Caenorhabditis elegans: one gene and its partner. The protein of the gene in region 1 purifies or fractionates together with the protein of each later gene. This does not show direct contact. Each region holds a gene or a part of one and is shown in the gene's direction. Other genes may lie near its edges. The genes, in order: tbb-2 and ugt-49.

Region 1 (4,064 bases):
GTTGGTCAAGGCCGTCACAAAGCATTCGCGTCCCTGTCCATCCGAAACATAGAGGGCGCGGAGAGAAAAACGACGGGAGAAGGGAGGGAAGCACGGGCGGCGCCAGTCTCTATGTTTCTCGCTTGGTATAATGTGTCTCATCGACAACGGAAAGTGGGGGTAAGAGTAGAGCTCTTTTTCGTCCCCAGCGCCGACACACGACCCTTAACTCGACTTTTTTCGTCAGTTATTTCTTGGAATTTTTTTTTGAAGCTTCCCGTTGATTTGGATTGTATTTTAAAATCGTTATCCAACCAGCAACTGATCTAGATAGTACCCATTAACATTGTCTCCTGGCGCGTGTACTACGGTAATTGACCTTTCTCTGACTGGCTGCATGTGTGACGAAGTATTGGCTGCATATGTATCGTATTGTATAGGCGACCCCAAGCCGATTGTCACTGCCACGTCATCTCCGTTTCTCTTTTCTCCGCAATTCTCAATTCACCACCACCGCAGCCGTCAACAGGGGTACGATTTCCATCGCATTGAACTAGTTTTTGTCCCTCGTTTTTCTTCACGGTTCGTCTTCATCTCTTTTATTCTGAAGGCTTTTCAAAGCTGCAGGCCCCCAGCACATTTCATTCGGTTCCCATAGGATTACTGCGCGCCAAGCGGCATCTCCCTCTCTACCCCAAACCAATAGCACCAAATTGCACCCGATGAAAAGCCATCTGTGTCGTGTGCTCTATCTCCTTCTGCCAAACCTAGTGGTGACACGCAAAACAAATGGATTAAGCAAAAAGAGAGGGAATTGATGGACATTTTGTGTATGTTTCGCAATAGATTTGCCTCTGCTCTCTTCCTCTTCACCCATTCTACCCATATCTGCATATTTCGCAATAGTCTATTCGATTTCACCACCCTTTGCAGTCCAACAACGACTGCTGCCCCAGTGGCCACTGCGGTTTTTAATGCGAGCGGGCGCCGCGCGCCCCGTGTTCTCGCGATTATCGATCCGAATGCACACAGCGTCGGACACAACTGCGCCCGACCCGCCTCTTCTTCGTCTCCATTCCATACATCCCAAGAGCTGCATGTCTGCTCCTACAACGTCCTTTTGTTTCCTTTTTGGGGTAGCGATTATGAAAAGTGGGCTCATTTTAGAGCAAATAGAAAGGTACTTGCGCTGAAATTTTTATCGAAAGTAGTTAATTTCGGAGTGCAATAAACTAGAATCAACCTATATAGAATAGAAAAGAATCACCAATTAAACATCTCTTATATTTTTCAAGGTAACCTTATTCAACCTTATTCCTAATTCGTCTTTTAATTTCTTATTTTCGCCGTGAATCATTTAATTTCAGAGCACAATAAACTAGAATCAAATCACCAATTAAACATCTCTCAAATTTCAATGTATTAAAAAAACTTACTCCTTTAATTTTAAATTTTTGCCGTGAATCATTGCTTTTCAATATCGACCATGACGTGTTCTCTTTCTTTTGTTATTTTCCTTCATCTTCTCTATCTAAATATAGTTTTTCAATTCATTACGACCTTTTCAGCAAAAATGAGAGAGATCGTCCACGTGCAAGCCGGACAATGCGGAAACCAAATCGGATCCAAATTCTGGGAGGTCATCTCCGACGAGCACGGAATCCAGCCAGACGGAACCTTCAAGGGAGAGACGGATCTCCAGCTTGAGCGCATTGACGTCTACTACAACGAAGCCAACAGTGAGTTTTTAAAATTTTCTGGAGATTTCGAAATCGTTTAGTTGGAATGATTAATTAATTAAATTTTTTCAGACGGAAAGTATGTGCCACGCGCCGTGTTGGTCGATCTCGAACCAGGAACCATGGATTCTGTCCGCTCTGGACCATTCGGCCAGCTGTTCCGTCCTGACAACTTTGTGTTCGGACAAAGCGGAGCCGGAAACAACTGGGCCAAGGGTCACTACACAGAAGGAGCTGAGCTTGTCGACAATGTGCTTGACGTGATCCGCAAGGAAGCCGAAGGATGCGATTGTCTTCAAGGATTCCAACTCACTCACTCTCTCGGAGGAGGAACCGGATCTGGAATGGGAACACTTCTCATCTCCAAAATCCGCGAAGAGTACCCAGACAGAATCATGAGCTCATTCTCGGTTGTACCATCGCCAAAGGTGTCCGACACAGTTGTAGAACCATACAATGCCACCCTCTCCGTCCACCAGCTTGTTGAGAACACCGATGAGACCTACTGCATTGACAACGAGGCCCTCTACGACATCTGCTACCGTACCCTCAAACTCACCAACCCAACCTACGGTGATTTGAACCATCTTGGTAAGTTATTATTTCTTGTTCAAGTTTAAGTTATGCACAAGTTACCCAAATTGAAACCTAATAATTACAATTTTCAGTATCCCTCACCATGTCCGGAGTTACCACCTGTCTCCGATTCCCAGGACAGCTCAATGCCGATCTCCGCAAGCTTGCCGTCAACATGGTTCCATTCCCACGTCTTCACTTCTTCATGCCAGGATTCGCACCACTTTCCGCCAAGGGAACCCAGGCTTACCGTGCCCTTACCGTCGCCGAGCTCACCCAACAAATGTTCGATGCCAAGAACATGATGGCTGCCTGTGACCCAAGACACGGACGTTACCTGACCGTGGCCGCTATGTTCCGTGGACGCATGTCGATGAGAGAGGTTGACGAGCAAATGCTCAACGTTCAGAACAAGAACTCGTCCTACTTCGTCGAATGGATCCCGAACAACGTCAAGACCGCCGTTTGTGACATCCCACCAAGAGGACTCAAGATGGCTGCCACCTTCGTTGGAAACTCGACCGCTATCCAAGAGCTTTTCAAGCGTATCTCAGAGCAGTTCACTGGTAAGAAATTTGAAACTATCATCCAGTATCAGTTTTAAAAACGTTATTTTTTCAGCTATGTTCCGCCGCAAGGCTTTCCTCCATTGGTACACTGGAGAAGGAATGGACGAGATGGAGTTCACCGAAGCCGAGAGCAACATGAACGATCTCATCTCAGAATACCAACAATACCAAGAAGCAACTGCCGAAGACGACGTCGACGGATACGCTGAGGGAGAAGCTGGAGAGACTTACGAATCGGAGCAATAAATGCAAGATCCTTTCAAGCATTCCCTTCTTCTCTATCACTCTTCTTTCTTTTTGTCAAAAAATTCTCTCGCTAATTTATTTGCTTTTTTAATGTTATTATTTTATGACTTTTTATAGTCACTGAAAAGTTTGCATCTGAGTGAAGTGAATGCTATCAAAATGTGATTCTGTCTGATGTACTTTCACAATCTCTCTTCAATTCCATTTTGAAGTGCTTTAAACCCGAAAGGTTGAGAAAAATGCGAGCGCTCAAATATTTGTATTGTGTTCGTTGAGTGACCCAACAAAAAGAGGAAACTTTATTGTGCCGCCAAGAAAAAAGTCTCATTGCCTAAGAGAAACATATGTGGTTGGAAATCTTCCAGATCGTGGATCAATTGAAGAATTGTCATGTTGGCTTATAACGTGCCCAATGAGCCAATCATCTCCTATTCGATCCTCGACAAGAACACATTGACCTTCTCTAATCTTAAAATAATTCAGATTTATAATATAGATCTCAATTAAATAGAGCCACCTCAATCTCGTCAGCATGCTTCGGCTCAAAATCATAAAGAACTCTACAAATTGTCGGTGGACTTGAAGTGGGCTCATCGAAAGTTGTAGTTGTTCGAATAGGACCACCATTTGATGATGTTGTTGTTGTTGAGTAGAAACCGTCGTCGGATATCTGAAGATTGAAAAATGATTACTACTTACATGGGTTTTTCGCGGCAGAAATACGGTACGCGGTCTCGATACGAAAAAGGGTGTTTAATTCGAAGAGGCGTGCGCCTTTAAATAGTACTGTAATTTAAAACTTATTGGTGTGGAATTTTTTATCGATTTTTGATTGAGATTTATTGAAAAACTATGAAAAGAAACAGAATTTATAATTAACAGTAATTTTTAAAGGCGCACGCCTCTTCGAATTTAACAACTGTTTTCGTTTCAAGATTGTATTTTAAGATTGTAT
Region 2 (4,292 bases), on another chromosome or scaffold:
GAAGGCACCAAAAATAGGGGCGAAAAATGAGACTATAAACTGATAAAACATATGTATTGGAAATCTTTGGATTTTTGCGGTTTGGTGTTGCAAAAGTAGCTATTAGAGTGCAGTACTAATAGGGATTTCAATGAAATTCAGTAATAAGGTAGCTAGAGTGTATGCGTTACATGTTCTGTATACATCTGAAATATATATTTCAGATAGGAAAGCTGTTTGTATTTGTTTGCAGAGAATAACCCGAAACCCTTTTCAAAGTTCAAAAATCGAATAAGTTATTTTTCGAAGGTTTACTACATTTGGGATTTTCTGAAATCATTATTGTCAGGACCTGAGACTAATAGTAAGGATGTACCAACTTGGCAGATAAGATATGATTTACAAGTGTAGGTAAATGGTATATCTAATAAATAAGTGACAGTCCATAATAGGAATTTGATATCTTATCTATACTTGCAGAAGATTATAGAGTTTTTCCATCTTATTTAGACGCGTATGTTTCTTCCATACTCTTCAACTTTCTAACTCATTTTTTCATGATATCAAAACTTAAGAATTAAAAACCTGAATTTTCGTTCTGGCATTCAGGAATCATACCTTACCCCACAAAATTCCCTCGTTTGGTAAACTTGTTTCATGTTTGCCAACAAAGTACGCCCAAACATTTTTCTCAGGATCTTAAAATCGCTCAAAAATTCCCATAACCATTCTCGCCGTGTCACATGTAGTTCAATTATTACAATTCACAACAACCATCTGCGTCTCTCTCGTATCAGTAATCTATTCTCGGGTTCTACCTATCAAACAATCTTGTTCCCGTGTCATTTTCTATTCTTGTCATCAGTCACTATTTGTCCAAAAACTGTCAATGTATCAGTGAATGGTTGTGTTTTCTCTGTATCACCATCTAATTCTTATGTCTAACCACTACAAGCACTCACTAGAAATAGTCTACAAAACACGGTATTTTTTAGAGTAGATGTTTCGACCAATAAGTCAAAATACTGTCGAGATCATTGTTGAATCAATTTGTGCCAGACGACATCTGCACTATTTTTTTCCTAAAGAACAAGTTACGAACAAAGTTCTCCCATAATGCTTCATTTCCTTTCAGTATTAAGAAGTGAAGAAACCAATTTTTTAAAAATATCAAAACTTAAAAAATTAAAGACCTGCATTTTAAATTTTTCTATAAAATATGGGTTATTCGAGTTTGTAAAAGTGAACCATCAAATGTAATTTCAGATTTCTCATTTTGTGATTTCGTAGGTGAAAAAATAATTTTCATATATTTTTTGTTCTTCATTCTCCAATGAATTCTGATTCATTGAAATGAAAATTGTTAGGGTGCTACTGTCTGCCATTTCTCTCCCTTCATATTTCATTTCTGTTTCCGCTGCCAATCGTTCCATGATTCGATTATTTTTTTCATTTTTCACTGTGTGTTTCTCTTGTTTTTTTTAATTTTTATTTTGTTGAATTTCTAGTACTATTCATGTGAAAACGTGGTTCTTTGTAGCTTCTTGAATTTTATCGACCTTTCACTAAATTGATAAAGGTTCGATGAAAATGGGTATAGAAGAATTTATAGATAAGACACACAAAGTGTTTTTAACAGTAAGATAATTGTTATATTTCACGTTCGTATTCGATTTTTCGAATGTGCATTCTATTGAATCTTTTTTTTATTTTCAGTAGTTTCAGGAGTTGATAATACGTGAATTTGAACGTTTTGAATTTCAGATCCATCTTGGGCATGTATACCTTTTTATTTCTTCTCCTATCTCTTCTAGCAGTTGATGCAGGAAAAATTCTTGTGTACAGTCCATCCATAAGTCGGAGTCATTTAATTTCAAATGGAAGAATTGCTGATGCACTCGTTGACGCAGGTCACGATGTTGTTATGTTCATTACTGAATATGAACCATTAACTGAATTCACTGGAACTAAGAAGGCTAAAGTTATCACTATGAAAGGATTTAGTGAGTTATGATTTGACTCTAACAACACTAAAAACACTGTTTCAGGTACAAAGTTTGCTGAAGACATGGATGGAATCGGAGAATACCTATTATCGAGCTCCAGATTAAGCTTTTTGGAAAGATTAATGTTTGAGAAAACGTGCACAGGCGCGTGTGATGGTGACAAGACCCAATATTATTTTCGAAACATTTTTTAAAATTTAGATTTAATGACAAGACGCGAGGAATTAGAACAACTGAGAGCTTACAACTTCGACGTGGCATTCAGTGAACAAATTGATTTGTGTGGAGTTGGAATTGTCAGATATCTTGGAATTAAAAATCATTTATGGATTTCAACTACACCAATTATGGATGCAGTTAGTTATAATTTGGGAATTCCAGCACCAAGTTCGTATGTTCCAACAATCGAAGAAAATGACAATGGTGATAAGATGGATTTTTGGCAGAGAACTTTCAACTTGTATATGAAAATTGGTTCAATCCTTATTCATAGATACGGAACTGATGGAACTACAGAGGTAGTTTATTTTAATTTAACCTAAAACTAATCTTTTTCACTAATCACAGGTCTTCCGTAAGTACATCCCAGACTTCCCAAATGTCAGAGAAATCGCTGCAAACTCTTCACTTTGCTTTGTAAATTCCGATGAAGTACTTGATTTACCAAGACCAACTATCACAAAAGCAATTTATGTCGGTGGATTGGGAATTCCAAAAGTTAGCAAACCACTTGATAAGGTTACACAATATTTGATTTTAAAATTATCTGAATATAGTTTTTTAGAAGTTCACAAACATAATGTCAAAAGGAAAAGAAGGTGTCGTAATCATTTCACTTGGTTCAATCATACCATTTGGAGATCTACCAGCAGCGGCAAAGGAAGGGGTATTGCGTGCAATCCAGGAAATATCAGATTATCATTTCCTTATTAAAATTGCCAAAGGTAAATAATTGACGGTTCCAGAGTACATCGAATAGTGCAGAAGCTTCAGAAGAATTTAAAAATAAATCCCCCATAGTAATTTGTCAAGATACTAATTTTTTGCAGGCGACAATAATACCAAGAAATTGGTCGAAGGAATTAAAAACGTGGATGTAGCTGAATGGTTACCACAAGTAGATATTCTTTCTCATCCAAGATTGAAGCTTTTTGTAATGCATGGAGGAATTAATGGATTAGTTGAAACAGCTATCCAGGCAGTTCCAACTGTAATTGTTCCTGTTTTTGCTGATCAATTTAGAAATGGACGAATGGTTGAAAAGAGAGGAATTGGCAAAGTTCTTCTGAAATTGGATATTGGATATGAAAGCTTCAAAAACACAGTTCTAACAGTTTTAAACACTCCAAGTTACAAAAAAAATGCGATAAGAATTGGGAAAATGATGAGAGACAAGCCATTCAGTCCAGAAGAACGCCTTACAAAATGGACACAATTTGCAATTGATCATGGCGTTTTGGAAGAGTTACACGTGGAAGGATCAAGATTAAATACAATTATTTATTATAATCTTGATGTTATTGCTTTTGTCCTATTCGTGTTCGTTGCTGTTCTTCACGTTTTCATTTATGCTTTCAAGTTTCTGTGCTGTAAGAAGAGATCTCAGTCGAATATTAAAAAATCTAAGAAAAATAATTAGCTGATATTTATAGTCTCTTTTAATAAAAATATTAAAAATAAATGTTATTTTCCAGTAGGTGTTCAGGTGAATTAAGCATACAAGACTTAACGAAAATAGAAAGTAGACTTTAATCTTTTCTACAATGTTATGGCCTCATTCTAAAAATTTTAAAAGCGTCAATGTGGTACCGGCCGGTATTTTTTCGGATTCCAGACAATCTGAAGTCTGGCTTTTGAATTTCTATTTGTTTCAAACTGTTTGTGGCCCAAAACAACGGGTTAAACGAATCGTGCAAGAAACGGAAATTCCAGACAGCTTAAAAACATCTTCCACTGCTAGATTTTTCAACCAATGCCTTAAAATTGAAGAAACCACTTTCTACCATCAATTAGTGTTCCAATTATTATCATCTTTTTTCCTGTTGAAAATAAAACATTCTGCGTTTACAAAGCACGACATTTTTCTGCCAAAAACCGTAGTTGACAACGAGTAGCACACCGCCAGAATGAAAAAGTTATATAAATTGATAAACTTCAGGTTGTATACTTTTCAAATGTTCTGTCTTATTATATTGCGGTTCAGTTCTAATCAGTTTTAAAGTATTTTGGAACCCATTTTAAATTTTTATTCTAAAAAATTATTGATTTAGAAAAAGTTGCAGGTGACTGTTATGACCTTATTAGTTA

What was found.
Region 2: the proteins of tbb-2 (region 1) and ugt-49 fractionate together in Caenorhabditis elegans (co-fractionation; one large-scale study listed by BioGRID). This does not show direct contact.

The regions. Positions count from the first base shown.
Region 1 is NC_003281.10:4,015,111-4,019,174, reverse strand, and holds tbb-2 (Tubulin beta-2 chain), read left to right. Parts: upstream 1-1,547; 5' UTR 1,548-1,552; coding exon 1,553-1,718; intron 1,719-1,790; coding exon 1,791-2,309; intron 2,310-2,386; coding exon 2,387-2,860; intron 2,861-2,915; coding exon 2,916-3,109; 3' UTR 3,110-3,265; downstream 3,266-4,064. Other genes in the region: C36E8.4 (SH3 domain-containing protein), read right to left, coding at 3,434-3,577, 3,627-3,779. UniProt on the Caenorhabditis elegans protein: Tubulin is the major constituent of microtubules, a cylinder consisting of laterally associated linear protofilaments composed of alpha- and beta-tubulin heterodimers.
Region 2 is NC_003283.11:10,370,584-10,374,875, forward strand, and holds ugt-49 (UDP-glucuronosyltransferase), read left to right. Parts: upstream 1-1,737; 5' UTR 1,738-1,756; coding exon 1,757-1,982; intron 1,983-2,027; coding exon 2,028-2,141; intron 2,142-2,186; coding exon 2,187-2,503; intron 2,504-2,552; coding exon 2,553-2,723; intron 2,724-2,769; coding exon 2,770-2,929; intron 2,930-3,034; coding exon 3,035-3,624; 3' UTR 3,625-3,678; downstream 3,679-4,292.